3 linked regions of the Styela clava genome follow. The protein of the gene in region 2 interacts with the protein of the main gene of each other region in a pairwise test. Links are inferred from orthologs where the notes say so. Each region holds a gene or a part of one and is shown on either strand. Other genes may lie near its edges. The genes, in order: vacuolar protein sorting-associated protein 51 homolog, regulator of telomere elongation helicase 1-like and large ribosomal subunit protein bL12m-like.

Region 1 (8,288 bases), on a different chromosome or scaffold from region 2:
AGCATGTTACAAAATCCAGATATTTAAGTCTGCATAATTATCCAAAAAATACAGAATTTTCAAATTGGCCCATGTTTATAAAGGTGCAAAGCAGGCAGGAGTCATTAATAAAATACTTGTGACAGTTAGGCTAAGTCTTTTACCACACTCATTTCATCAAAGTATACCGTATATATTCAAGACTCAAATAACGTGAAGATGCCTATAAACCTAATAAGGATTCATGAGCTACAAAAAACATGTCAACAGGGTATTTAATTTTGAAGGCTTAAAGTTTTACCTGGTATTTTCTTGTTCAACTATATCATCAGTATGTTCATCTGTTTCTTCATTGGTATTTCCAATACTTTTGCTATCTTCTGCGACTATAGTAGTTTTTGTTGAACTTCTAGTAATTGATGGAGATGTAAGGAAGTTGCATGATAGATATGATTCCAGTTCCTGAGAAAAATTCAAAATGAATATTGATGAATCATAAGAATAGTAAATACGAGGTCGCTCCAGAAGTATGTGCACCAAGATGGCACACAACCTGAATTCTAACCTGGTACACATACTATGTTCAGGTTGTGCGCCATCTTGGTGCACATACTTCTGGAGGTCCGATACAAGAGGGCGGTGCGAAACGTCAAGCTGAGATCAGATTTTTAGAGTTAAATCCTTGTATATCTTAATTAATCATGACCATATATAGCCTAATATAGATCGAATCGTACTCGAAAACTCATCTACATGTGGCGATTCAGAACTGTCCACAGAAATCTGAATTAAAAATGGGGTTGGATATTGGCAACTTTATTGTAGTTGGAACTTGGAAGCCAAGCAGAAAATTTCATAACAGTATATGAAAAGTAGAATTCCCTCCCAAACTATTTTAAAAGCATGAAAATATTTATTTATTGATGCATTGCTAATGCTAGTTTCCAGATCTTTGTACTCAGGGGGTCAATGTTTACAAAAATTAATTTCACAAAATTGAGTACAGAAAATTATCTGTGATACGTAAAGATCAAAAATCTATCTGCAATACCATCTGCGGAAAAAATTTCCATTAAAAAATATAATATATTCAGCAAGAACGGTTCACCATCCATGCTCTAAACTAAAACAGTTTTTGATCACATCACTGTAACTGAATATCATTATCGCTTAATCGTTTTGAGTGAAACATACGTTTACATTATTAAATGATATATAAAATTCAAACCTCTAAATCTTCCAGTAACTTTCGTTTTGTGTGTTGAAGATAATCATCACATAAGGATGCTGGTGGTTCTCCTAATCGTAATAATAAGCCAACACATTGAGCTAATTGCTGAGGTGTAGAATTCTGCACAAAATATGAAGTAGAGTATTTTTAATGGAACACTCTTATAGACGGATGCGCCCTATGAATGGACAGAACCCAATCATAATAATAAAACATAATGGAATAGCACCTATGTGGAATTGGAAGCCCTTACTGAAAAAGCATACCTTATTATGGAAAGTGTCTTTTAATTTTTCGATAACTTGATTCATAATTTCAGTACAGTCACGTTGAATTCCACTGAATGATTCCATGTGTTGGTAACGACTAAGAACAGATCGTGTTTTGGTGTAATATGTCACAGCAGCAGAATATGATTTCATGTCAAGGCACCTTTGTAATCTGGATGGTAATTCAAACAGAAACTGCAGCTTCTTAAGTAGTGAATGAACTCCTGATAGCTTCAGTATTTTCTGTCGATTGTCCTAAAGTGAAATTACGGAAAGTATGAGAGGGTCATCAGAAACTGCTCAAATCCATGATCAGCTAGCTGGTGTCAAAATATAGACAAAATGGTTTAGTAGTTCTAAGCGGAGGTGTAAAAAAACAATACTACTTTGGTATGCGATATCGGAGGTTGTGAGATCTCAGTGACTTTAGTTAGGGTTAGGAACAGACTTATATGAGAATTAAAAAGATACCAAAATGGGTATGCAATTATCTTGTAAAGCAAGTGAGATGCATACCTAGGTGGCAACAAATAAGTTATCAAATGCAATTGAGGACGTAAAAGATCTTAAAATTAGGAAGAAAATGATACAAAAATGTTAATAAATTTTGGATGAATTAGAAATGCCTTAAAAAAATTTGAAATACTGTTGATAAGAAATAGGATACGGTAAGCAACAAGAACCTACATGCATTGTACTGTTAATTTCAGAACTTAATTTTGCAACTGATGAAACATTTGCAGTTAATTTCTCCATTTCATCCTCCATTTTATGAAAATCTCGTTTCATTGTACGAATTGTATCTGTCGCACTGATGAACTTATTGTAGTTCTCATACACCAACGTCTGTTAAAACAAATATATTCAATTTTGCTACATTTTCTTGAATAGCATATTTCATATAGTATGACACATGTTTCAATGTTTAAAAAAACTGACCAGATTTAGCAATATATAAACAAGCTCTGAAACGAGGGGCGTCGTTTTGGTAGCACTGGATACGGCGGCACTATCTTTGTGAGATACTAATAAATCAACTGTGACGCCAGCGAAATTCGCTCGACAATAGTTTCCTAATTATCTGCTTTGTTTAATCAGACTTTAACCCACAAAATTTATTGCCGAGACAGTTTCGAGTTCCACTTCGTTTGAGTTTAATGTGCAGCTACATTTTGTGGTTTTTGCACCAATATGGAGGGACGGTAAAGGCCAGGGGATATTTATGTATCATTGGATAATAATGCATGTATTTAAACTTTTAAACCGTAACTCCGTTTAAAAAACATGCAGAACATACTTGCATTTCACTGTCCAATGTTCGTATCTGACGTGCCATGTCATGTTCAGTATCCATCAGCTGCTCCAAATTTTTTTCCTTACAATAAAAACCTCAATTAAAGTTTTATCAAAATTAGAAAAACTACATCTACAATTACTGCTGTACTGGGCAAAAACAAAACTAGGCTACTAGTTCTATAATGTAAGCAATTACAGTATTATGGGTATCAAAATTTAGCATTCCGCGTTTGAACATGAAGAATTTACCATTTTAATACAGGAACATAACTGCATAATAGTGTCAAATGTGAATTGGGCTAGCTGACTAGTAAAATTTGAATCATTTCAAAAAATTCAACCTGCTTTAATTTGCGAAGGTAATCCTCAGGTTTGAAATTGTTGCTGTCAATATCCAGATGTCCATCGGAAACTGAAGATTGATTTTGACCATCGACATTGTAATACATCTTGAGCATATCATTTTTACGCGCATGTCTCGTCTGACGATTTTCGTCTGTCTCCTCCATTGCTAAACTTTATCTATTGACTATCTATATATTTTTCAGCCAATCGATTACAAAAACAATACAAAAACTACCGGTATTAGCCGATTTGACTGGCAAGCAACTCCAGTGTCGCGATTTACTCTGCTTATTTAGCTGATCTTTGACCCCGAACAATTTGGGCCTGACTCTGAGTCTACACACGGGCTTATTTTCGATCTTATATTTTCATTTATTGGACACGTAGTGGACATAACGATCGTTTCAATATTATGTTGTTGTTGTTCTTGTTGTTCTTGTTCTTTGACACGTTTTTAAAAAGTCGCTTTTCTCTTCGAATACTGGACCAATTGCTTTGAAATTTTCAGTGGTTAAAGATTAATTTTTTCTCTAGAAGGCTATTACTTTTGTTTATTCTTAAATTTTATATGAATCCTATGAGATATGATATTTCATACAAAATTTCGCGGTATTTATTTTTACTCATGGGAACACTGTTTTACACCTATTTCAAGCGGTTTCGCGATCGATTGTCTTGCTCAGTAGTACAGCTACTGTAGGTCGGTACTGGTAAGTTGCCACACAGGTACCGTAACGCAGTGAAATTGACTTATTCCTTCCGCGGTATTACTAATGCTGCAATGCAAGTTTTATAGCCTATCGTATGCGGAACGGAATATCAGACCTGCAGGTTCGGTACCGGTACTGGTAGCTCAGTACGTAAGTACGATACTGGTACTGGTGCCGGTACCAGTGTCTTACCACAATGAAATTACCGTAACTTATTCTTTCACGGTCCTACCAGTGCAGTAATGCAAGCGTTGTAGCACTTGTAGCCTACTATATTTGTTTATTTTGATGAGAGTCTACTGGAAACAACATAAAATTTGAAAGGGAAGAATTGTTCTGTGATCAATTATCTGTCCTAAAGTGTAAACAACATAAAATTTGCAAGGGAACAACTGTTCTGTGATCAATTACCGTATATGGCCTACAGTGTACAGGTAAGATGCTGGCTGACTGCTAACCGGTACTGGTAGCTCAGTACGTAAGTACGATACTGGTGCCGGTACCGGTGTCTTACCACAATGAAATTACCGTAACTTATTCTTTCACGGTCCTACCAGTGCAGTAATGCAAGCGTTGTAGCACTTGTAGCCTACTATATTTGTTTATTTTGATGAGAGTCTACTGGAAACAACATAAAATTTGAAAGGGAAGAATTGTTCTGTGATCAATTATCTGTCCTAAAGTGTAAACAACATAAAATTTGCAAGGGAACAACTGTTCTGTGATCAATTACCGTATATGGCCTACAGTGTACAGGTAAGATGCTGCCTGACTGCTAACTCAGTACCGCTTGACACGTTTTTAAAAGTCGCTTTTCTCTTCGAATACTGGACCAATTGCTTTGAAATTTTTAGTGGTTAAAGATAAAGGCTATTAGAAGGCTATTACTTTTTTTTTCGCTAAGACGTCATCAAAATTATGTGACTCTACGTGTCCATATATTTGAGCATAGCTCTCTTGTTAAAAACCAAATTACAAAGTAGAGAATTACGAGATTTTCGAACATACAAAATATGAGCGCCGATATCCATTTACTTACAAATAACACGTTTTATTCAAATTAACTGTAAAACATAGTTTATTAATCATTTTAAACGTGTAGGAGAGATTTCTTGCTAAAGACTAGGTCAAAATTTTGCGTTATCGACCAGGTCTTATTTTGAGGAGAGGGCTTATTATTATATTAAAGTCATTTTTAAAATTCAGGCTAGGTCTTATTTTCGGGAAAATACGTTATTCTCTATGTAATATTTTGAGTAATTTAAAGGTTTTGATTCTACAAATCTTCCGTAATTATTGTATTATTAAATGGGGCAATACCAGGAGAAAGAGTACGGAAGCTACGCCAGTCAGGTAGAACCAGCAAATGTCTGCAAAGCTTGAAAATGAAAAATGGCATTTTAAATTATTGTGAGAAGAAGCAGAAAATTATTATACGAAAAACTGCAAACATTTGTCACTGCTGGAAAATGATTGCAGTGAGTCGCCGAACATTTTGAAAACATTAGGTTAAGGTATTCACTTGTACTTATAACTTTCAGCAGTGTTCAAGAAGACTGGAAAGTACTTTTGACGGATCAAGTAGTTCGTTTTCGTGTCAAATAGAGCTTTGCTTCCTATTAAGCTGATTGTCAACTTGTCACCCCAGAGGAGATGGTAGGCTACCTGTTTTATCCCTTTGCCACTCCCCTCGATATCGCCCACTTTAAGAATTACTGGTCAAGCACATCTTTGGACTCAATAGTTGTACGTTTTTGGTTGACGATTGACAGTCAAAAGCTGTCGACTTGAATAAGGAAACGGCCATCGAAATGAGGTTTCTCCGGATAAAGATCATTTCCCATCTGTGACATCATAGAATGGTCAAATCTTACTTCGGATACAATCCAGCAACTCTTTAGTGACAATTAAATGCATTATAGGCCTACACGTACTTTGGCAAACATTTTATGATATCAATGTGTTCGGCTAATATTCCTCCTTGAAAACGCGATTTTCTTAATCCTTCAATGTAAAATATATATATAAATTGGTGAAATATTGGGATGTTTCAATGAGTGCGTGCGAAATTCCCATGAGAGCCTGTGATACATGACCGAAAACAATTGATTCAAAATGGCACCCATTGTCCAAGTGTTGCCTCGGACTCATATATATATGCTTTGATTTACCCACTCATGTAAAATGTCGATTTCTTAAAATACCAGTTCCTTTCCGAATAATCTTTCTATTCCCCAAGAACTACGCGATGCCAGCTACTCCTATTTAACAAGCCATGACATCCATTTTAACGATTTCAAATAGCCAGTTATTTTCCTACGGACTTACAAATACGTTATTGGACACGAAATGGACCTACAAATCGTTTTGTCGAAGTTTTTTTAGTTTTTTCGTGGTATTTTTCTTCTTCATCTTGTTGTTATTATTTTTCCCCGTGTTTTTCTTCACCTGTTGTAAAAAAATCCCTTTCCATTTACCTGCTGGACCAATGAACCTTTCCTCAACCTCTGACCCCCGAAAAATCCTTTCTATACTTTACCATTGCAATCAACATCGCATACAACAATCTGTATTTTAAAAGTACCGGTGAAGAATTTTAGCCTAGTCTATCACAGCTATTTCTACACTAATTTTTTATTACTGCAATTAAATTAAAACTCCTAGGAAGACAGAGTGATCATTGAATTATCTGATTTATATTTAAGTTTCCGAAACACAACTAAAAACTAACGAATAGAGTTCAAAAACGCGAAAACGAGGTAATGTTTACGACCACGCTTGAAAATCTGTCTGAGTGAGAAAAGTGTCTGAGCGGATGCGAAAAGGGTGCATTGTTACGCCCTTTTTGCATCTTGCTGATTGGCTAATGTCACGAAGTAAACAAGGAAGTCGATGCTCGGGGAAAGGTCCATTGTTTTGAAATTTTCGGTGGTTAAAGATTATTGTTGTCGCTAGAAGGCTACTACTTTATTTATTTCAAAAATTTCTGTGGGCTCTATGGGATTCCTTTTAACTTTGAAGTTTTGTGTGATGACGTCATCAAAATTAAAAATTGCATACCTTGTGGCGGTTTCGCGATCGCATTTTGCGTTGGCCCTTTTTTCCATATATTTGAGCAATGCTCTCTTGTTTATTATGTGTATTTGGGGACACTAAATTGGAGTACGCAAGACCGCGCTCGTACAACTATCCTGAACATCCATCATCATTTAAACAAGTAAGAAGTATGTTATGCTCGAAATTAGTTTCGTTATATAGAGATGTTCGTTGATCGCAAAAAAGGACTTCTGTTTGCCTGTTCTCAAATTAACAGTCTCTTCTCAGATGAATTCTCAGAAAGGGAAGTTCTATGTACTATGTTTGATGCAGGTTCTTATGCATTCACTGTTTTGCCAGTCACCAGCGTAATTTCAAAATGGGAATAGTTTTATTATAGGAACTTATTCTTGTTAAAATAATGTACTCTTACGTATAATCTTGATGTCTATCTCCAGCCTATATTCACTGACGTCTATGTAGCAACTATTTGTTGCTATGGGCGTCTAGAATCGGGGATCAAATATTTCGCTAGAATTACGATGGACATCACTGTTCCCTTGCAACTAATCTTACAGTTATAGTTATTTTACAGATATTGAATACATGTTGTGGAACTGAGAAATCCCCAATCTGGTTCTCGGGGTTTCAGGTGTACAATTGGCGCTTTTGTACCCGTTTGATACAGCAACATTGGACATTTATATTTATATAACAAGACTATTATTAAATCTCGATACTCAAAATCGCTGTAGGTAGAAGAAAAGACTAATCTAAAATTTGATAAGATATTGTTTGAATGGTTAGGGTTATTTGATCATTAAGGTAACACAGTAAATGACAAAAATAAAACAATAATTCGTTATGAATTTTCGTTTGGAAGCGTGGGGTCAAAAAATTAAACTGGCAACTATAGGTATATAATATGTCATATTTAGTTAAACGGAATTTAATGGATCAAAACATTCCAGAAACTCCTTGTAAGTATCGATAGTTCCATAGTCAATTTTCACATTTCCTAATTCGATTTCTTTATCTAGTTGCAGATCTTCTGCAACAATCCCTTTGTACACATTCGATTTGGTGGAAAGTTGAACTTGGGGGACGATACTTTCTGGTGGTGGTTCGAATACATCACATACGCTGTTACGCAGGCTGACTACGTAGTCTTTCTGTATATCTGTGAATGAAAGTCCTATTGTGTAGTTTTGATACTGACATTCGAGACCTCGAACTTTAGAGCAAAGTATTTCGAGAACTCGGCTGACGGAAGAATCTTTGATACCCATTTCAAGTGCTTCCTTCGAACGCACGAGTGATAGGTTATTCTCTACCTCCAGAGCATATGTAAGGTAATAGTTTCTTCCTGTCGCCGTGATTTGTTCAACACCTATTGCTCTGAGCGCACTGACCTTGATCGTT
Region 2 (8,475 bases):
TTCAACTCATGTGTATTTTCATTGTCATATCATGCTTGTTTTAGTGTGTGCCGTGTATATTTGCTATGTCACATGCTTGATTAGACATGATTTGATAATGTCTGAATTACCCTGGATAGCTTATACCAACTTATTAATTGAAAATGAATTGAATTTTTGGAATTATTTGTGAATCTAATGTAGTCGATTCTGTTATTAGCACCAGTATTTTTTTCAAGTTCACATATGTGATGAATTTATTCTTTAAATATTCTTTAAATAACTTGCTACAGTGTTGCCCAAAATACAACTTTTGACTAGGTAATGAATGTTTTTACATGAATTTCCGATTTGTGAAGACTATAAACCAGACAAAGTTGATACTAAATGAAAAAAAATGACATTTTGTAGGAATTTTGGCAAAAAATGAACTTTTTTTTCAAATATTCTCAAAAAAATTTGCTGTACACCAGTGTTGCTCAAATACAACTTTTGATTACTTATTTCAATTCTATTTTGGTGGGGTGCATTTTATATTAATATGGAATGAATTCATTGTTGGTTTATGCTTAATCTTATACAAATTCAACTTTCTGATTGCATATAACTCAAAATTTGGCTCAAATTGTTAGCGACTCTAGGTTTATTACTGTAAATTGCAAGTATATTTGCTCTGATTTTATAGCATTGTACATTCATATGAATTATTGTTCATTAAAGTAGTAGAGCAGGCGTTTGATTGGTTGCGGTGGTAGTTGATTGTGTTCCGCCTTTGTATTTTCTCAGCTTCGGCCGATTTGAGTCGATACTGTATTTTTTTGTGTTAGATTGGATGATTTTGTGTTTGACGTGTTCTCGTTTATTTTTTGTGCTTTAATTACTATTGTTTTAATTAATATTCACGTAATGCTAGCTAACAACTATATGTTTGTGTTACTAACAATTTTGTGTTAACTTGATAGCGATTGCCCCCTATCGCAGCGGGAAAGCAAAAGCAACTTTTTTATCGAACCAGAAACCACTTTAATTTTTAGTTTGTTCTTTTTTAGTTTTATCCATGCTACCGTACTACTAGCAGCGTGTTTGTATACGCATGTAATTGATTTTTGTTTCACTGCTTCTCTTTTTCATTTCGGTTTGTTCGAAAGCGCCTTACTTCGATTTTTGTTATTATCATTTCATGTCCGAGCACTCTACAGATTTTTTCAAAATCAGCTTTGTGCTGGATATGGTTTACAACACGTTCTTGTGTCACTACTCGTTTGAACTATTTTTGATTTAATCTAACTGCACGGGATTAAAGCATTGGTTATGTTAATATAGTTAGGGCTGGGTGAATCCGCAGGGTTCAAAATGATAAAGATAATTCACACAAACTTATTGTACACAAATTAAAATGATTTCAACAAAAAATACATCACAGTATTAAAACTCTAACAACTTGAGCTTTTTTGTAATCTATGAATAAAATTAAGTTTATGAATTGATTGTTTGATTTTGCCCGGCCCTAGCTTTTGTCCGAATCGATTTTGCACTTATGTTTCACAATACTTATAAGGGAAATGATAGTCACATGAGACTCTACCACTTTTTATATCACACCTCAGTCTTCAATTGCATTTAAAAGTACAATATGATTTTTTCCCTAATCAAAATTTAACCAATCTTATGACGAAGTGTCTTTAAGCTCATGATCATCTCAATGTTATCCAGGTTGTTAGACAATTATTAATGGAAAAATACCCTGTCAGATTCCACTTTCTTATTTAAACAACATTATTCAAATGTGCAAATTTGGAGAATATTCTTCCATTGCATTGATTACTAGAACGCTTGAATATTTAATGCATTAAGATTCAATTCATTTTTAAATTGTTTTCGTAAACGGCCAACCTGACTGAGCTAGACAGTGGGAATAACTTGCCTGTTTTGAAGATAAAGTGTACTTACGTTGTTGTGTTGAAATGTCAGGTTTTATCTATATTATGCATCAAAAAAAGGATTCTGATGTAAAAAATCTAGTTATGAGTGTTAATTAATATTAATAATTATTAATACTAAGCGGTGATTTATATTATTTGCACGAAAATTTTTTTTCACTCAATGTTTTAGTTGACAAATTTAAGACACAATATTTTGTTTGCGTTTCTGATGCCATAATTTTAAGATCCATCCATATATAATATTATTTACTTGTAATCCCATTTGATTGTTTTCTAATATTAGGTTTGATTTGGATTCTGTGAGTTAACATAACCAAATTTTGATTATAATGTTAATGCTGTGATATATGTTTTGAGCAAATAGGAAAATTGCTTGAAACGCTATGATTTGTATTTACCGTAGTCTAAATCCGGCATCTGACTAAAATAGAATCTTTTACTGAAGTTAGATTTCAGATAAAATGCCAGTAAAAACAGATTTTCAGGTGAAATGATCTGTCTCATATCTTTTATGGAAACCAACTTGCCAATTATATACCTGTTGTAACAAAACAAAAAATTTAAAGTGTTCCGTGTATTTGTTTTCAATATTTTTTTGTTCATTTTCATTCCACACTGAGCAGTTACTCGCTTTTTGATTCCTTTTTGCCTTTTTTCACTTTTTTCTTTGGTTTGAAATTCTTACTGATCGTGTTGGAGTTCGTTAATTTTCCTCGATTATTGCACCTTTTCATTTCTTTATGAATTTCTTCCTTTCACTTGGTTATCGCTTTGTTCATTAATCTGATTTAAACACATACTTGCGATTATTGGCTGGTTATATTGCATAGCAGATTTCAATAATAACCGGATATTTGAATTATCCAGTGGGCCGTGCTGTGCTTTTTTTTCTTTTTGTGATGTTTGCTCCACCACCATCTTTTTTCATAAAAATATGGATTCAAATCTCAAGCACAAATTAAAAAAAAATATTAAACCAAATTTTTTTATGCTGTTAAAGAGTATCCAGTGAAGTTTGTCAATCAATCATTATCATCAAAATTTTCTTGTAGTTTTGTATTTTTGTTAATATTCATTTTTTTGTATGGATTGCAGTTCTTTTGGTGATTATTTGCAGTGATAATAGGTATAGTCCGTGTTACTTTTTTGTGTAATTTTCTTTCGGTATCCAGAAAACCATTGTCATACGTTATCAAAGTCTTTCAAATGCCAAGATCTTAAGGCTTTTCGTGTGTGACAAATTCAACATCTTTAAGTCATGCATAATCAAGTTACCTAAGATCTTTGGTATCTGTATGAAAAATTTGACTCAGATAATTCAGTGATTTGCTGATTGAATGTGATGCATAATTTTTGATTATTTTCACATATCAGTCTGTCATTTGAGTTAACTCCATTGTTTGTTTATATTTGTTTGTATACTCACGGCATGACAATTGTCATTAGCACTACCATCATTAATATTGTATTAGAATAACCCTGTGACCAGATGAAAAAATATACTAAATCCGTGTAATTTTGAGGGAAATAAAAATACTTACATGGTTAATGGTGTTGTTTGTTTTTCTATTGAAATATGAAGGAAGGTACATATTATTCCAGACTGGGACGAAACTTCGTAAATTCATTTACAAAGAGACAACGCTAATATGTGGGTTCAGTACAAATACGTCATAATTTTGTCAAAATAAGCATGCGTGTGTTGGTATGCTCAATAATAGCTTCATAGTTTTGCCCCATTGGGCAGGCGAACATGGGTTGGTGAGTGCAGGAAATACTCTCTAAATCGAAATATTTTGATTGGTAAATCGATAAATCTGAATTGAAGGTGTATCTACTATCTATCCTACTGGTCATGAAATTCTGTTTTGTTAGGACAAATCGCTAATCCCACGTAGGATTTGCAATCGACTGCGGACTATTTTCAATTTTGACTTCTTTTATCCCCATTGGAACTTCAAAAGTCTGAATTTTCGACTCCATTGAATTTAGAATTTTGACTCCAGGTCCTGAGAATTTTGCAAATAGGACTCCGACAAGAACATGCCGAACTCCAAGTACGCGCCGCGGGTTAAGAGTTTTACCACCTTTGTATCTTCAAGAACCCGACATGCTAAAATGGCCGAACCCGAGATGGCGCTGCGGTGTTAAAATAAATCCCTGTCAAAACTTGGCGCCAGTTTCGCTTCCACTGAAGATGAGAGATTGTTAGATATAGGATTTACACAGTTATCCCGGTGGAGAGGAAAGTAGTTATGTCGGTGGAGTGGAAAGTCGATGAGAGGGCTTAACCACGGCCTCCCATGGGTCTCCATCCGTTTACCAGTCCGCCCTTGAGCAATTATTACAGAGAGAAAGTTTATCATTCTATATTTTTGTCCATAGTCTTTTCGCCCCTCGTTGCTTTTTCTATCCCCAGGTTGCATACGACTGTACCTGGTCTAAATTATGACTTTGACTTTCAATCGCCATGGGAGTTGCTTAATAATAATGATAGACTATATAAATTTGTCTACCGATATTTATTTACCACAGTAGCGACTTATGCTGGTAAACTGCGGTTTCGGTACAACCTGACGCTGTTACACCCTGACTATGGTACTGGACTACATAACTATGTCCAAATGTCTTTTAATTCCACATATTTATGCTCTTATATTTTCCCAATTTCCAAAGTGATTGATTGTAAAGCAAAATCATAACTAAAACTATCTTTTGATCACAAAACCACCATCACTGCTGCACTACTATAAGATAGACATTTTATTTCGAACTCCATTTAGTAAATGTTATAGATGAAGACAATGCGAAATGAGTAAACAAACATTGGAACACCCATAATTCAGCAATTCCTAGGTCTGTACATGCAAAAATTAGAATTTCAAAACAAAATCAAACTGCTGCTAGTTAGAATTTCATTTATACATTAGAACATTCAAGTTTTTTTTATTATGTCAGGCATCTATTATACCGTATCTGTAGTCTATATGCATGGTTGTGGTATAGTATAGTACGGTACCAAAATTGTTGAGGCATGCCAACTAGAAGTACTTGTGGTCCATGGTACTATACCAGACCTAAATTTGTGAATGAATAAGTGTCAGTCTAACTTGCTCATTGTAGTTGATTTTATAGTTTTAATTCCATTCTTTTGAGAATTTTGTTGCTGTTAAGTGATAATAATTATTTTTATACAGATTCATATAAACTAGTTAGAGTTTAAAATGGATTATTTTAAATAAGAACAAAAAATCAGAAAACTTTGCCTCTGAATTGTCAAGTCTTTTGGCTAATTCAAGTCTTCCGTTCACCATGCCTACTTTCAAACTGCGGGATGTGGAAATTGAATTTCCCTTCAAGCCGTATTTAGTACAAATTAAATATATGGAAAGTGTGATTAAGTCATTACAAACCGGGAAGAATGCGTTACTGGAATCACCAACAGGGACAGGAAAAACTTTGTGCCTCTTGTGCGCAACCATGGCATGGCGAAGATTAGAAATCAAAAAGCGTACAGTGGAAAAGTCTTTGATTCCTGATAGTAAAGAGCCTGATTACCCCTTAGGATGGGGCTCTAGCGATGCAGTTCCCGGGGAAGAGCCCGAACAAAGCATCCCAACGGCCCCAAAAATTATATATGCTTCCAGAACCCATTCACAATTAGCTCAAGTCGTCAAAGAACTGAAACGAACTGCGTATGCCAAGGATGCTAAAATCAGTATTTTAGGATCCCGGGAGCAAATGTGTATTCACCCAGAAGTGTCAAAGCAAACCAACAATACTGCAATGATTCATTCGTGTCGTAATAAAGTTAATAAACATCTCTGTCATTTCTACAACAATGTTGAAAATGTGAGAAAAGCAGGATCATTCACAAATGAAGTTTTGGATATTGAAGAATTGGTTGCGTTGGGGAAGAAGAGGAGTGCCTGCCCTTATTATGCAGCAAGGTTATATACAGATTTCTCTATTTGATATCATAAGTTGAAATAATGAGTTGGTATATAAATAATATCCATTTACCGTACGTAGCAAAAGTTATATCTGGACTTGTAAGGGGTTATAGGACCTTTACCATACATTTTTATATCAATTTGGTTTATGTATTTGTCTTTTCTTTTCAATATCTGCTATACTCTCCATTGTAATTGACCATAATTCGTGCCAAATGATATTGTAGAGAAAATTTTACTAAAATTAAATTATGGAAAGGAAATAATTTATCATTTATGCACATTTAACCAATGGCGTACTTGAGCTTGTTTTTGTGTATTTAATCATATTTATTAACATTAATTTTATTAGTTTCGATCAATTAATATAAAGTTATAAACACAAACATATGACTAATAAATCTTTATAAAAAGGATCCAAAAATTTGTCACACAGTCAAAATTTGAGAGTCATTGGTGTGGTAGATTGGTATGTGATCACAGATTAGAATGTGGATAAAATTGAATTGAACTTGAAAAAAAAAAATCATTTTCATCTTCTAGAGAGCAATCAAAAGAGGCAGACTGTGGCATCATTTTCACGCCTTATAATTATTTATTGGATCGGAAAGCACGTCGTTCTCATAATCTTGAAGTATCTGGCAATGTGATTATATTTGACGAAGCTCATAATCTGGAGAAGATGTGCGAAGAATCGGCTTCATTTGATTTAACATCAATGGATATTGCAAAATGTATTCAAGAAACTGGAGAACTATTAAAAGCTGCAGTAAATCTTTCTGAGACTGGGACTGTACCTGATGGTTATGAGGCTGGTATGTTATTATGTTTATGTGTGTGTGGGCGCTCAGGTAGTACATGGTAGTTTCATGTTTCATTCATACATTTGACTCTCTCCATTCAACTAGTTGTCTGATAGTTCAGCTTGATGCCAGCTTTTATTTAATCGTTTAAGTTTGATTTTTGGTTGATAATTGTGTACCACCATATATTTTCAGGAGAGTCATCAGCACTTGGTGAATTCAATCTTCAGGAATTAGCAACGTTAAAAGCATTATTCGTCCATCTTGAATCACATCTTCAAGCCATACCACTTTCTGGTGTAGAAAAGAGTTTGACAAAAAAGGGAAGGTATGATGATATGGAATATTTTTATTCAAAAATGTAGCCCTAGCGCACTCCAGCAGATTTTTATTTCTCTTTCTACGCAGATGCGCTTATTTAGTCCTTAATTAGTCCAGGAGTCCTTTCAAAAAAAGTAGTTTTCACTCAGAAGTGCCTTGTTTGGAGTCTTAGTAACTCTTTGAAAACACCTCGTGTAAAAGTTACAATGTTTTCTTATTTTTACAGATACATGTTTGAGTTTTTGGCCGCTCTGAGTGTGAACTTTACAACACATGAGACAATCATTGATCTTGTCGACAAGGTGGTGACTTATCTTTCCACCCTGAGTAACTCATTTCAAACTAGAGGAACAGCTTTACAAAAGTTTTCGGAGATCCTGAAAATCATATTCAGTGCAGCGGGAGGACAAAATCCTACCCTACCATCCACTCTTTTAAACTCCAATGTAGCAACCGAGATGATGATGAGTGAATTATCAAAATTTTATCGCGTACATATTCGAGAAGACGAAGTAAAATCTAAAAACTCTTGGGGAGGGAAACAAACTTTTCAAACTACGACTACAGAATCTACGGGTACACAAAGAACGCTGAGTTATTGGTGCTTCAGCCCGGGATACGCAATGAGAGATTTACTAGCTTGCGGAGTAAAAAATTTAATTTTGACAAGCGGAACTTTATCGCCGATTGAATCCTTTACCTGCGAACTTCAAGTTGATTTCCCGATCACGTTACAAAACACTCACGTCATTGATAATCATCAAGTTTTCGTTGCTTCTTTAACGAAAGGACTCACAGGAAGACGTTTAGAATCAACGTACAAAACTAGAGGAGATTACAGACTGGCACAAGATATTGGAAATATTCTTATTAGAATGTCTAGAATATGTCCTGGTGGATTGCTAGTGTTTTTCCCATCTTACTTGGCCATGGAAATTTACACCAAGACATGGAGGGAGTTAGCTCCTGATATTATGAGGTACATAGATCTGTAATAAGTAGAAAATGCCCCACGTCTTTCACAATATCAAAATCCAGTAAAAATGTAAGCTTTCTCATCATAAGAGGTACTCAGAAAATTCAGCATAATAATCAAATTTAAGATAATCCAATCAAAAAAGTCGTATCTTGAAAATTTACTTAGTCAAATACTGGTACTGTTTTAAAATGACAGTATTATTTATAGTTGATACATACCTTTATTTTGCTGAACATCAATTTGGAATATTCAGAACATCAGGTAAAAATTCGAAAATTTCGCATCATTTTGTACTATCAGTATGTCATGTTTATGTCACTTTTTTCATCAGGCAGATCGACTTGATTAAACCTTGCACAATTGAGACGAGAAATAAAAATGGTTTGAAAGAAGCCATGGAAAAATATTACTCAGATGTTGCCAAACCTGAGGGTGGGACATTCTTTGCCATATGTCGTGGCAAAGTCTCAGAAGGTTTGGATTTCTCTAATGAAAAT
Region 3 (7,210 bases), on a different chromosome or scaffold from region 2:
TAATCAGAAAATACCATAACAATCCGTGGACACAAAAATGTGTGATAATGTGCCCGATTATATTTTGTTTTTATTCGTATTTTTGTGAATTCAACAAATCTGAGCTGTTCGTACAACACTTACGGCTCTCCAGTACTGTACGTACCAATGTGGAGGCCTAAGGGAAAATGCCCTGGTACATATACTAAAGTATCACCCGAAATTCTGCGATTTGCGATGTCTAAAGCACTTACGGCTCTCCAGTACTGTACGTACCAATGTGGAGGCCTAAGGGAAAATGCCCTGGTACATATACTAAAGTATCACCCGAAATTCTGCGATTTGCGATGTCTAAAGAAGCGTTTTTAATCGGTCGCGTACAATCATAAAACAAAAGTTATCGTGTTCTCCGTTTTATTTTCAGTTTTTTTGTATTGCCGCTTTTTAATTCAGAAAATCTGGGTTGCCACCATTGACACCTACTAAAAAAAATAATTTTTCGTTGTTTGAACTCGCTAGTAACACTATACGTGTGCTCGGGTTTTCGTCAGAAATTCGCAAGTGAGTTGTGAAATCCAATCGTTTTGACCTGTCGCGTCACCTGTTACCAAATTTTCGAATAGTGAATTGCTATTCTAATAGTTGAATATTCGAATATATGCCCAGCCATACTCAGTAACTAGTAATAATTGACTTGATTAATGTTATGTGGATAAACTTGCTTTTTATGTTTTATGTGAATTTTAACGTAAATCGTTACTTGGCTGATAGTTAACTTTTGCAAAAAAAAACGTTTGCGGCCCGCAGTGAATTTCTGGCTCGTTGCGGACTCATTCAAATGCCTTTGCGGACTCTGGTTGGGAAACACTATGCTAGGTTTAAAGTTTTGTTGTTGATATCAAATCGTCCATGTTTGACCGAAGTTACCACCAGGGTTATGGTGTCAAGGGAAAAATTATATTCAAATCCAGTTTGAAAAAAAATCTGAATTTAGGATTTTCAAAATTTTGCAAACCTCATTCAATATACGGTTAAGCATGCTTAGTTAAAGGTTCGGCCCGCGGTTTCACCCAGCAGTTTGAACCTCCAATGAAAGCATGACTGTATAGCTCTGCCTATGGACAATTTTCAGACCTTGCCACGTTTGGTTCAGTTTCTAATAAAGATCAAAAAAGGTAATAAAGACCAATTGCCTGCTTTAAAATGATGTCAAATACATAAATCAATAATTGAAATATAGTAATTCTCTGAACAGTTTCCTGGAAGCCTTTGCTAAAGTATAACCACTTTTTATGATTTGAAAGCTTTTTTAAAAAAAATTCATAAATAGATCATTCAATAACAACAGTTCCACCTGCCTCCGTTAATGTTTTTGATAATTCCTCAGCTTCTGTTTTTGGTATTTCTTGTCGTACAATTTGTGGTACACTTTCCACAAATCCTTTCGCTTTTACAAGATTGAGGTTTGGCATTAAAAGTTTAATTGCTTTGATTAATTTAACTTTTGAATCTGGTTTGAAAGCAGTAAGTTTGACTGTGAACTCAGTTTGTTCTTTCGAAGCTGGAGCTTCATCTTCCGCTTGAGCAGCACTGGCACCGGGAGCAATACCTCCACCAACCATCATTGGAATATCACTGATATTCAATTTGATTTTTAAGAGTTCGTTTAATTCCGATACTTCTATGAGTGTAAGATTTGAGATTTCATCGACTATTTTTACAATTTTTGGTGGAAATTCTTTACTTCCTTCTAGCGGTGGTGGTGGGATTTTCTCGATCCCTTGAGCTGCTGCTGTAGACATTGCATCTTTACCTCTGCGCACGATACCATTGCATTTCAGCAATCGATCAGTTCTAAAAAGTATTCTTGTTTGTCTAATTGCAAACATATTGTTCACGATTTATGGCAATTGCTTGCTGAAATGATAGGTTATTATTACGAAAATATTATTAATTCAGTAATTAGACTACTAATATTTTTTTTTATGTTAGAACTATCAAACTAAAGACCGCAGCAATTGGGTCTCGTGTACATACTTCTAGTGGGCGTAGAATAACAATTTTTTCACATATCAATCCTAACCCCCACCTGACTACGCCATCCAAAAATTACGTCACAGTGACGTAATATAGCCCTTCAAACTATATGAACTGCCATCCAAGACGCGCAGACGAGCACCCGAAATAGAAAAGCTATTTCTCTCGTTTTCTTGCCGATAGGAGAGAGATCGATGACGTCAGTCAGCTCTTTATCGTCGGCGCCAATGCCACTTCGGGCGATCATATGTATATTTGGCAAGCTCTATGATGTGATTGTGATGTCGTAGTGACGTAATTTTTGGATGGCGTAGTCAGGTGGGGGTTAGGATTGACAGGTGAAAAAATTGATATGCTACGCCTAGTAGAAGTAGGTTAGGTACGAAACTGCACGAGACCCCAGCAATTGACAAGATTACCCAAAAGCAAAAAGTGATCAAGATAATAGAAAATTTCCTTCTGCATTTACTGCCTTGAGATTGACAAAACAAATCTATAGTGAACTAGCAGAAAGCTATTACTGATTAGTAATTAACGAAAAGAGAAGGAAGAGAACTTTGCGTACCCTATTAAAATCAATAGAATTTTCAAAATACTTGAGAATTGTGATGCTAATTCCATTTTGCTTAAAACTGTCAACAATTTTTTTTTCATAACTCCAGCTAGTCAATTAACAGGAAAGCAGAATATCGCAAGTTTTCGAATGAGAAAGTCGTCCACACTGCGAGAGGCATCTCTACATAAAGCAGATTTCCCTATCCCTCATTAAATTTATCACATGTTTTTATTTCTTTCGAGAACTGATTGAGAAACGAGCGCCTACCGTACCTGTTTATGAAACCTATCCAAACCTTAGAAATAACCGAAGTGACAGTCACTTTGGAAATAATCGTACCGAAAGTAAGGCGCGATGCAGCATGGGTGGCACTGGCGCCCGTGGCAACTTTTGTGGCTTCAGTTAGATAGACGTCACATAAAATACTGAAAAATTATACAGGTGATGAAAAAACACGTAACATTTGGGTTGGATCAATTTTGTCATACGTAAATTTTTTTAGAATTTTAGAACATTTTTTTAGAATTTAAAATGCCAAAATTGAATCTCAACTCTATCGCGAACGTGTCGTATTGAACTCCAAAAAATTAATTTATTTATACCCCCGTACATATTCAGTATAATAATAGGCGTGAAAATGTTTATAAATGTCCTCATGGAATTCAAAATTAATTCCAGAATTAGAATGAGAATTTTAAGTCAAAATTCCTTGATTATATGGTCAGAATTTTCTAGGGATCCCAATTTTATGTTAAAACTTTTTTTTACGCCACCATATGATTTGTTTCAAATTTGCTTGTCATGGTTTTGAACGATGACTCATGTTTATTTTCCATGTAATATTCGGAGTTGCTGGTGCTAACACTAGTGCACGATTGTTTGTGCGTTTACTTCAGATAACTGTAGTTGAGTTGAAATAAAGTTTGAAAAACGAATGGCTCCTGTAACCTCTAAAGAAACACCAGCGGAGAAACCTACCAATGAAAAAGACAAAGTAGAAAAGAAAGAGGAAAAAGAACCTGAGTTGGTTAGTCATATTCTAGCCTACCGGTATCTTTTTCAGTTGTAATCTTAATGTCACTGGCTTTCAATATTTTCCTGCTCTTTGAGGCAAGGCTTTTGATAAAGAATATATGGTTATACATTGATCAATGCGCATCTAGAAGAATTTGAGGCTCCTTGGCTCGGCGGTGTGAAATCAGGTTTCTCAAAAATTATATAAATAAGAAATCAAGGATGTAAAAATATTTAGCTAATGAGAAAATTGAAGTTAAAACATCCCCTCCTTTGCACACCTGAACACGGAGAAACGAAACCTCAAGAATGGTTAAAAAATAAATTAGCCTACTTCATCCTTTTTTTATTTCATTATTTTTGCTTTATATAAATTTACACCTTCGGTTGGTTGACTTTTATTAATATAATAACTTTTTTAATCTAGACTGATGAAGACAAACAACTACTGGATGAATTGAATCTATGTGTGGAAAGATTGAAGGTTTGAAGTCTTTTTTAACTGATTGTGTTGTCTGTATGTGTAATGCTGTATGATAAGACAATCCACTTTCACAAGCGTGTGTGTGTGTGCGTGCACACTTTTTCATCGTGAGAACTTGGTATGGTTTGAAGCGTTTGGAATTACCGGCAAGTCAGCATAATATCATCTCGTTGCGTGATAAAATTCTGATGCGCGAATGAGTCGATTTTTTGGTGCAATCTGAGTTATGCGAGAACGGTCCCTTAGTTTGGCAACTTTTTTTTTTGAGTTTTAAATTCGGCCTATTCGCGAGCATATACGATATGTGGACCTATTATGGTTATAATAAGATTTCACTTTTGACTAATGATTTTCTAATCATATCCAATATTCAACACAAGTTACAAGGTATTTCCCATGATTTACGGTAATTATAGTTTGAGGAATAGAAATTGTGTAATACAGTATAATATATTATGTGATGAAGTGCAAGCTTTGTTTTCTAGGATGACCCAAATAACAGAACCAATAAATTTCTTAAATACTTCTATGAAAATGAATAAAAACTTATTTATCACTTGAAATTATGTTTGTGTATGACACTTTAGGATTAAATCATTAAAAAAATCATTAAAAAGGATTAAAACCAAAATTGTCAAAGTGCCAGAAATCTAGGACGCTTCCGAAGTTTTTTTTTAGGGGGGTGGGAAAGGGTTAACTTGTAATTGTTCTCAGATTCAACCCCACTAGACCACAATTATGTAAACAAATGACTACATTGCCTTTTTCGAAGTTTATATTTAAGAATGATTACCTCTGCTGTTGAAAATTATGTACCTATCCTTTTAGTTTCACTTTTTTTTACAGGAAGATGACTCTTCTTTATACCACTCAGCTCTTGAAATTTTACGAACGAAGATTCGTTCATCTACTGCATCATTAACATCTGTACCAAAACCATTAAAATTTCTTCGACCACATTATGGGACTTTGAAAGAAATTTATGAAAAAATTCCAGATGGCAGAAACAAAGTATGTCAGAAAGGATATTTTAAGTGAATCATAGCAGTTGTTGAGATAAATCACATTGAAGAAAAATTGCTCTTATATTATAATGCTGATTGATTTTTTTTTTTTTTCTTTTGGCATCGGAGTCTAAGTCTGGACTTTTGACGGTGATATTAGAAGTCAAAAAGTTTTTGAGAGAATTGAGAAAGCACTAAGTTGACTACGACAAATAAAGAAAATTTGTATTCGCAAAGTTTTTGTCACCAAAACAGATGTTCACAGCTCTGCCTCTGTTTATAACTTTTTAATTTGGAGCAACAACTGGACCATCTCAATCGTACACAAATCAGGCTTCATTGTCTGATTGGAAAATTTCTGTTTGAAATGAAAGTATTTTTACCCCTTTTTCAGAAATTTTGTGCTGACATTGTATCAGTGCTAGGAATGACAATGTCAGAAGAAAGAGAATGCTTAAAATATCGACTCGTTGGTACTCAGGAAGAAATTGGATCTTGGGGACATGAATATGTCAGGTGTGTTCTCGATAAAAAAAAATATTATTTCACTGAAGAATAAATAAAACCTACAGAAATCATTCAGAGATGCAGTTGTAAATTTTAAAGCCTTAATGGCTCTAATCTCAAAATTCATGAAATTAATTGAAATCAATTTTTTTTAATATTTACCAATTGAAGTATACAATACTTTTCAATTAATTTCAGTCCTGTTTATTAATATACTTGTTTATTCATCAGACATTTATCAGGCGAGGTAGCTTCTGAATGGAAGGAGATTATGGATGCAGAAGGGGAACCAGATGCTAAGAAGTTGGATGCACTTGGCAACTTAATAGAGGTGGATTACATTTACAATATTCCAAATTTAATTTTTTGTAAGACTAATTTTTTATGTGATGCTTATTTCATGCCTATCACTCTGAATAAGGCCTTGTATAAGCAGACACTGATATGTAAGAAGCGTTTATTTTTATGATAGCCATGATCCTTTCGATTCACTCTCTACCCAATTCATTACACACATGGTTAGCTCGGAGCAAGGTCCTGAACCCTCCACTTTGAATGGAAGGACTATTGATTGAAGAGTTCCACTATGGCATTGATAAACAGATAACTATATAGGTTTTCAATGCTAGATGGAAATGTAAGGGTCTAAACGGTGACTCTGCGATTGGATACTACTTAAATATAGATTAGCTCAATAGTGTTGTTATCGCAGATTACACATCTCAGGTTCAAATCTCATGACCTCCACCTCACTCAGGGTGTAAATCATAAATTAGGTCGTCAATGCCGGACCAGAGATATTTGTTGTGATATGGCAGTGGCTGCTTGCACAGGGCCTTGTTGGGAGCAAAATGTTTGAATAAGCATCAATTATAAAATTATAATTTCAAATTTGTTTTGTTTCAGGATATTGTTCCCTATAACATGAAGCACAATGGAGAGACGGATGCTTGTGATTTATTGATGGAAATAAACAAACTTGAATTACTTGATAAATTTGTTGAAAAGAGTACTTTTTCGAGAGTTTGTCTTTATCTAACAAGGTAAATTCTGTTGCATTTTCCATAAAATAACAAGACAGCAATGTTCGAATGTATATCACTATGAACACCATAGATCTTTTTAAATTATCATTCGGTTTTCTCAATATCATTCGATGCAACGAAAAAACTTTTTTCTATTTCAGCTGTGTGCCATATACACCCGATCCAGAGAATATAACGTTGTTGAAGACAACTATAAGATTGTTCAGAAATTTTGATCGGTATGCTGAAGCAATGAGACTTGCTTTACAATTGAATGACATGGATGTTATTACTGAACTGTTTCAATCCTGCAAAGATCCGTGAGTGATGTTGTAGATTATCTAAATATATTTTTTCAATCATTTCATAAACATTACAAAAGTGGGTGTAATGGCTTAGTGGTTAAAGCTTTAGATTTAATTATGATACGAGCACACGCAGGCTATGATAAATTGGGTATGCAATGCCAAACTGGAAAGATTCCAGTCCTTCAAAACCTGGCATGGCCAAACTACGGCCCGCGGGCCAATCCGGCTCGTTAAGTAACTCAAACTAAAACCAAATTTTGATGTTTGAGCTAGAGAATAGCTCAAGGAATTTGTCG

What was found.
Region 1: the proteins of regulator of telomere elongation helicase 1-like (region 2) and vacuolar protein sorting-associated protein 51 homolog interact in a two-hybrid assay, tested with the Caenorhabditis elegans proteins (2 studies listed by BioGRID). The link is inferred for Styela clava from reciprocal best matches to the Caenorhabditis elegans genes rtel-1 and vps-51.
Region 3: the proteins of regulator of telomere elongation helicase 1-like (region 2) and large ribosomal subunit protein bL12m-like interact in a two-hybrid assay, tested with the Caenorhabditis elegans proteins (2 studies listed by BioGRID). The link is inferred for Styela clava from reciprocal best matches to the Caenorhabditis elegans genes rtel-1 and mrpl-12.

What each region holds. Positions count from the first base shown.
Region 1 is NC_135251.1:21,118,716-21,127,003, forward strand, and holds the start of vacuolar protein sorting-associated protein 51 homolog, read right to left. Parts: upstream 3,421-8,288; 5' UTR 3,285-3,420; coding exon 3,117-3,284; intron 2,855-3,116; coding exon 2,777-2,854; intron 2,326-2,776; coding exon 2,167-2,325; intron 1,735-2,166; coding exon 1,477-1,734; intron 1,331-1,476; coding exon 1,208-1,330; intron 442-1,207; coding exon 281-441; intron 1-280. Other genes in the region: linear primary-alkylsulfatase-like, read right to left, coding at 7,805-8,288.
Region 2 is NC_135258.1:8,439,723-8,448,197, reverse strand, and holds the start of regulator of telomere elongation helicase 1-like, read left to right. Parts: upstream 1-5,135; 5' UTR 5,136-5,234; coding exon 5,235-5,872; intron 5,873-6,418; coding exon 6,419-6,690; intron 6,691-6,873; coding exon 6,874-7,006; intron 7,007-7,225; coding exon 7,226-7,978; intron 7,979-8,309; coding exon 8,310-8,475. UniProt on the Caenorhabditis elegans protein: A probable ATP-dependent DNA helicase implicated in DNA repair and the maintenance of genomic stability. Acts as an anti-recombinase to counteract toxic recombination and limit crossover during meiosis.
Region 3 is NC_135252.1:17,318,196-17,325,405, reverse strand, and holds large ribosomal subunit protein bL12m-like, read right to left. Parts: upstream 1,919-7,210; 5' UTR 1,869-1,918; coding exon 1,311-1,868; 3' UTR 1,119-1,310; downstream 1-1,118. Other genes in the region: 26S proteasome non-ATPase regulatory subunit 2-like, read left to right, coding at 3,507-3,599, 4,014-4,070, 4,917-5,081, 5,469-5,590, 5,813-5,912, 6,488-6,624, 6,768-6,926.